Linked DNA regions of Canis lupus familiaris. The protein of the gene in region 1 interacts with the protein of each later gene in a pairwise test. Links are inferred from orthologs where the notes say so. Each region holds a gene or a part of one and is shown on either strand. Other genes may lie near its edges.

Region 1 (3,648 bases):
TATTAAAAACTCTGTCATTTGTCAATGTATACAGAAATGGAAAAAAGTAAACTATTTAGTACATTGTAATTTAAAACATTACTAATATTGAGAATTAAAGTGTTTTTTTTAACCTCTAACTTAAATGTAACTTTACATTATACTTCTAAATTAATGCAAGAAGAATTGAGAACCTTACATCTGCTTCATTGGACTGCCTGCAGAGACTGTATATATTCATTCACATGTCAGTTACGCATTTTTTAATTATGGAGCCTTCAAAAGTTTACTTTAATATTTAGTAAGCGCCTCTCATTAAGTTCCCTTATTCTTCTTCCCTTCTCCTCCTATTAATACAAACTTCAGGATCAATTTGACTAGTTCCAGGAAAAACCTTGTTAGTCTCTGTTATGGGTTGAACTGTGTCCTCGAAACTCAAGACTTAAGTCCTAACCCCCAATACCACAACATGACTGTATTTGGATATCGGGCCTTTAATGAGGTAAATAAGGTAGAATAAGGTCAAGTGAGTGAGCCCTAACCCAGTAAGACTGGTGTGCTTTTGAGAAGCAGAGATCAAGACACAGACAACACTAGCAGACTGAGGGACGACCACACAAGGATACAGCGAGGAGGCAGCCATCCGCAAGCCAAGGACAAAGGCCTCAGAAGAAACCAAACTTGCCAACACCTTGATCTTGGACTTCAAAACTCCAGCACTGTGAGAAAATAAATTTCTGTAGTCGTTCAGTCTGTGGTATTTTGTTGTGGCAGCCCTAGCAAACTAAAATAGACTTTTTTTTTGCATGGCATGTTACATTTATAAATTAACTCAGGAAGAATAGAGAGCTTTATGATAGTGAATCCTCTCATCCAAAAACATGGCATTTCTTTCCATTTGTTCATGGGATGAGATTAGTCTGTATAATGTCAGTTTTTAGAAACATTATATGCTTGATATAAACTGCAAGTTTTCTTATTTCTATATAATTAGTTCTTTGGGGGAAAAAAAAAAAAAGAATTATTTCTTTGAAGCTTTGTGAAAGCATCTGGGCCTGACCCAAATCTTGTATGAGCCATCAGCAGATTTCTGCAAAACAGAAGAGAATGGCTTCCCAGTTTTCACAGGTAAGGGGTTCCTCTTCTTCTGCTAAAGCAACTTTTTCCTGAGACCTGGCCGCTCTATAGAGCCATAACTCCTCTGTCACTCTAAGCCAAACCTGGTTTAGAACTTCTAGCTCTAGCCCTTCCCTTCCCCAATTCCTTCACTGGCCATAAAGGTGCACAGTCTCTGTAATCCTAATCATTTTCTAAAAGGTTATAGGTGTGCATACACATTTTGTGTGTTGGAGGGGGGCACTGGGTACAAGGCAATGCTAGCTCAGATAGGAATTTTCTGCACCTTCTCCTTCTTCCTCCAGCATCCATGCCCTAACCCTACCTCAGACCTACGGATAGTACTCCAATGCAGAGTGGGCCCTGTCTTGCTGTGTATTTATTGCTAATCTTTGAGCTCAATCTCTTCTCTTTTCTTGATGCACCACTGTTGAGTTTTCATGAGGGTTCTCTTGCCCTGGCTCTAATGGTCTTAGATGTTTTTGGCAGCACCTAAAATAGGGAATTTTATGGTTTTCTCAGCCTTTTACGGTCACTGAGAATGTAGCTGGGTCTTTTGTTTAATCTATCTTCTATTCTCAGTAGTTTCCAAGAGGGAAAAAATGAGAAAATTTCCAACAAAGCTGCTAAAAGTAGCTACCACATTCCTACTGTAAGTCCTAAGCCCAATGCTTTGTAAGGAGCCTTTTCTTATATGGTATTTTTAAAAGACTGTATGATATCTGAACTGCAATAAATGGCATAAGGAATTACTGTCCAAAGTGGATTCTGAATTATTTACTTAAGCTTATTTTCCAACCAGAATACTTGGGAACCAAATCCTCTTTCCACCTAGATAATCTCAGAGAAAGCAAGCTAATTTCAATACTAACCCAAGGAAATAAAATTAGTCAATGAAATCTATTGCAAAACATTACAAAAACAAAATCTAAGGCAAAAATAAATGCCAAGCACTGAGAATAAATTCAAACTTCATGCACATATCTACTACCAACCTTGTTGTCCATCTGGCATGGTCACAATGATGGGCTGACCTATTCCACTGGTTGGAATGGAGTGCAAATTTCCAAGCTGAATTCCATCTGTGACTATTGTGATGACTTGCTGACCACCTGAACTAACTACTTGTTGAATGGCACCATCGACAGATTCTGCAGTAACTACCTCCTCCGTAGCCACTACTGGAAAAAAAAAAAAAAAAAGTAAAAATCAGTGAACATACATAAAAATAAATATGACTAGTTCATTTTTGCTTTGCTACTTTTGCTTTCCCTGTTTTGTTCTGACACAGAAAAGCTTTTACATGGTTTTTATTAAATCCACTCTTCCGTGATGCTGTATATATCTATATAGATAATGGACTACAAGTCCCACAATTTATAATTAACTGAGTTGTGACTACACAGGTGTATATTTAACTACACATGCATATATTTAAATAAACAATATTTATATTGTTTATATGAGGTACAAAATTTATATAATCTCCTAAGGTCATAGATATAACACAGGTTATACCTGCTTAATAAAATTTTATGATCCAAAAGAGAATTTTGTATGTGGTTGTACTCCATTTATATTTACATGAGTTATTTGCCTATATTTACATGAGTTGAATGCATTTCCATGTTCAATTGAAACACAAAAATCTATATTTTTCAAGTAAACAGAATAAACAGTATTCCCTTTTTGGATTATGTGAGAAAGGGGTTGCCTTGATAGCAAGTGGCACACAGGTCAAGTACTGTAATGACAGTGAATAATATATTAAAATTCATATAAATAAAATCCAAAGAATGTTACTATCTTGTAAGAGGCCCAGAGAGGATTCTGGCAGCTGAAAACGGCACCCCTGGCTTCACCTGAGTAAAGAAATCACAATTTAATACTACCAAAATCCTTTCCCACAAGCAATCCTGTGCAATCCACAGGCAATACTGATCCCAAAAGACCTATGGACAGGAACATTCCCAGCAGCTACACTCATGATAATAAGAAACTTGAAACCACCGGATATCCATCAAAAGAAGAAGGATAAACAGACTGGTAGATTAATACAATGGAATACTACCCAGCAATTAAAACGACTAAATGCAAAACATAGATAAATCTGACAAAAACCATGCTCACTGATATAAATCAGATACAAAATATATATTGCCTTCTTCCCATTTATAAACTAAGCAGTGATTATACAAGAGTAACCACTCTGAGATAATTTATTACACTATACATTGATGATCTATGCACTTTTCTGTATGCTTATTACACGTCAATAAAGAAGCAGCAAAAGGAATAATGACAATAATGGATTATAACACAATGAATCTTCAAAAATCCATTTGTCCATAATAATACTTAGTGAAAAAGGAGAGAAAAGGGGAAGGAGTAAAGATCATCTTGATAGAAGAATGACATCTAATTAACAAAATAAGGAAAATTATCACTGTAACCTCCAATGTAATAATTGATTCAAGCAAGGGTCACCAGTGGATGTTAAAACCACTGAAATGTTTCAAGAAACAAGATATTCATATATTTTCAAAGTATCAC
Region 2 (3,678 bases), on another chromosome or scaffold:
AGTGTTCCATGCTGGTTTCAGGAATGCAAACCAATATGCGCAATACGTGTTGGTGGAATCGATGTGCAGAAGAAAATAAGTGAATATTAGACGTTCAACGATCTTACAATGAATGAAGGAAAGCATTGGACAAAATGTATGTCACCCTCAGGTGCCAAGAGCAACCCGAGACTCTGGGAATACGCCGGAATGACAAGGATCCCTGCGCTCGTAGGCCTTGAATTGGAGCACAGCAGACAATGGAAAGGAAAAGTAAAATGCGTATAGTGGGCCCACCCGCCAGGGGCTAAGGGAGAAGGTATCCAGGGAGGACACTGACGTTCGTTCTTGAAGGAGGCGCTCTCCTTGAAAAGGTGACGCTTGCAAACTACCCTAAGGGCGATGCGAGGTGCACGCAGGTGGCTGTCCCGGAGCGTGAGAAGTTACAGCCCCACCATTGACGGAAAGAATGAGCGAGAGCTGAGCGCGCGAGCCGCCTGGCACGAGAGCCCGGGGGCTGGAGGCGCGCAGGAGCGCGGCGGCCGAGGTCCCGCGGGGGCCCCGGGCCGCCCCCGGCCGCCCGCCCGGCCGCCCGCCCGCCGGTACCCGCGTTGGCCACGAGGAGGCGCGCCGGAGCCCGCCGCGCAGTCGTCTTCCGCCGGCGGCCGGTGCGTGGGCACGCGCAGAAACCGCTAGGCGGCGTCGGTTTCCCTTCCCACGCGCGGACGCCGGGGTGGGCCGACGCGGCTGGGGAGCCCGCGCGTGCGCAGAGCCGAGGCCGAGGCCGGGCTGCCCTCGGGGCGGGGCGGAGCGGGGCGGAGCGGGGCGGGGCGGAGCGGGGCGGGGCGGGGGCTTGAGGTGATTCCCGAGCCGCGACGGCGGCGGCTCCGGCCGAGCGGGGAAACCGAAAGTGGGCGGCGGCCGCGGTGGGGGCCCTGGCGGAGACGGCGGAGGGAGCCGGGCCCGGAGGCGCGGGGACGGGCCGTGGGCGCCCGGGACGAGGTGAGCGCGGGGTTGGCCGCTGCGGGCGCGACAGGTGCCGGGCGAGGCTGCGGGGGGGCGCGGCGCACCTGGGTCCCTAGCGGGACGGTGGCCCGGGCGGGACTCGGCCGGGCCCGGCGCCTCTTCGCTGCAGCGGCGGGGGATGCCCCGGGGAGTTGCAGTTCCAGAGCGTCGCGTTTGAAATCTGTGATGGGTCCCCTCCCCGAGAGCCTGACGGACCCGCCCGCCCGCCGCTGCCGGGACCCTCGCTCGGTGCAGCCGCAGCCGCAGGCCGGGGAGCTGCAGCAGTGGGTGGGGGTGCGGGCGAGGGCGGAGGCGCTGACCGGGAAGTGGTTCCGCAGCCGCCGCCGGGAGCAGCGCCCCGCGAGCTCCCAGCCCCTCGCAGGCTCGGCCTGTCCGCGCACCGGCCGGTGCAGGCCGCTCAGGTACTGCAGGGCACGCATCCTGTCCGTTGCTCCCCGGCCGCGAGCCCCAGGCGGGGACACAGCCAGGAAGCAAACCTGACTCTGGGGACGAGCTGCCTCTTAACTTTGACCGAGATCCCGCAGGGTCAGGTGCTCAGCCTCGAGTTAATGACAGGGGGGCTCGAGCCCCGCGCAACTTTTCTGGCTCCGTTCCGCCTGCGGAGCATAACACGTTTGCCAGCTGGAACCAAAGGGGACCACCGGTCCCAGATAGTTTGACAGAGCAATAGCCTGCCTTAGAAAAAGCCCTGGCCCAAAAAGGAGCGCTTTAACCTGCTATAACCGCCCTACAGCACCAAACAAAACTGCCTATCTGGGTCAACCCCCCACCCCCACCCCACCCCCATCGTGCAGGTGGAAATATGGCAGTAAACCGTTCCGCCCGGCCACGCGTGTGCAACAACTTAAGGACAGAAGTGAAAAACTTAGACCCAAATTTCTAACTCCTCCTCGGCTGCCTCGACGTGTAGGTGCTGCATACTTGCAAAAACAGTGTGGGGCCTTGCAGACCCGAGTTGGAAATCTGGGCTTAACTAATTGTGGATGGTGAATAAATTACTTTCTTTGAGCCTGGTTTTCTGTGTCTCCAATGGAAATGTTGAACATAATTCCACACAGCTTTTGTGAGGTCACCCGATGCAAATCCTTTGGTTTGCAATAGTGGTCGAGAAATGTTGACTCTTTTCCTTCCACCAAACTTTCCACGTCTTACATAATTGGATTTCAGTTGCTTGGAGTTCTCTGATATAACAATTAATCGGCATGTGGTGGGGAATTTTCTATTCCCACTTAATTGACATTTCAGAATGTCAGTTAGGTGCAAAGTACTGTGCTGGGTGCAGGGAATTGCCCGGAGGCTAGCTGGATTAGAATCCACATGTCCAGTGCCCCAGCCCAGGGCTCTTTGGTGGCACACAGATTTCTTCTCTGCTAGTTAAACGCTGTGAGAACTGCGAGGCAGCAGTTGGCAGTGCCTTCGGATTTCAGTCCCTGTAGACTGGAGATGGAACATAATCCCTGCTAATGCCCTTTTAAGTGTATTGGTTGAACGTGACTGAATGAACTAGTGTGTTTTATACCAAGCGATTTAAACTTCTTGAGGGACTTCTCTTTAAATTTTCTGTGAAATATAATCTAGTTGGAGACAATATGAATGTAAAGGAAAATGCTTTATAATCCAACTCTAAGTGCCTGTTCTTGTTTGATCAAGTGCTATTTTCAAGAACTGAGATTCAACAGAGTGATTTGCATCTGGGCACTTTTCAGGATCAGCCAATGAATACAGTAAGGACCCAAGTTCTTTGGTACTTGAGTGAAATATAATTTCATATTTATGTGAATCGGTTTTTCTTTCTCTATGCAAAACTTATCTTCTCTGCCCTCTACTCCTGTCTCTGTGCTTTTGAAAGCTTCATTTTTATTATTGCCCCAACGGGCCAATTTTTTTTTTAAATTTTGTCATTCAAAATGTTTAAAAGTAATTGATTTTGTCATTTTTAGCTGAGATGTGTATATATGCCAATTACAGCTGTTGGTCAGCACAGGATACCTAGTGACTCCAAAGCAAACTCAATATTATAGCTGTGCAGCTTTGTCAGAAGGAAGCAAACTTATGGTTTCCATTAGTTCTTTGGATCCCACTTCAGAACTTGAAGGACTCCAAGGAAAGGTGAGAATTGAGGATCTTGTCCATCTTCCATATGAAAAAAAGAGCCCTGAAATGCCTCTCACTCAGGGTCACAGCTAATTAGTAGCAGAACTAGGATTAAGACCCCAAATCCTAACTAAGCCACTTTATTATCTCAAGAGGTTTTTTTCCTCTAAGATGTAGATTTATGGAAAGCCCTTACTTATTGTTCATAATATGTAGTTAGTAATGCATATATAGTTTAGAACTTGAAATTACAATGATTAATAATAATAATAATAATAATAATAATAATAATAATAATAAATGCCCCCTAAATATACCCTATGGAAATATATCCACTACCTGAGAGCATTATTTAGTATCTTTCCTTTTAAAGAGTTGGTAAAGGAGTAATTGAGGTGGTAACAAGTAGACTGTACTGCAATGGAAAAGAAAAAAGAACATGTTAAACTGTTGCAATTATGAGAAATCTCCCTGAAGTTTGGGTCTTAGACCAAAACTTTCCCTCTCTTAGGCTTAGTTTATTGGTTTGTAAAATGAGGCGTTTGGGATAAACTCGATGACATCTAAAATCTTTTATAC

Evidence for each region.
Region 2: the proteins of GABPB1 (region 1) and TDRD7 interact in binary tests that used the Homo sapiens proteins (3 or more experiments, as listed by UniProt). The two-hybrid records come from large-scale screens. The link is inferred for Canis lupus familiaris from reciprocal best matches to the Homo sapiens genes GABPB1 and TDRD7.

What each region holds. Positions count from the first base shown.
Region 1 is NC_049251.1:16,538,677-16,542,324, forward strand, and holds part of GABPB1 (GA-binding protein subunit beta-1), read right to left. Parts: intron 2,277-3,648; coding exon 2,091-2,276; intron 1-2,090.
Region 2 is NC_049232.1:55,090,671-55,094,348, forward strand, and holds the start of TDRD7 (tudor domain-containing protein 7), read left to right. Parts: upstream 1-858; 5' UTR 859-981; intron 982-2,945; 5' UTR 2,946-3,114; intron 3,115-3,678. UniProt on the Homo sapiens protein: Component of specific cytoplasmic RNA granules involved in post-transcriptional regulation of specific genes: probably acts by binding to specific mRNAs and regulating their translation.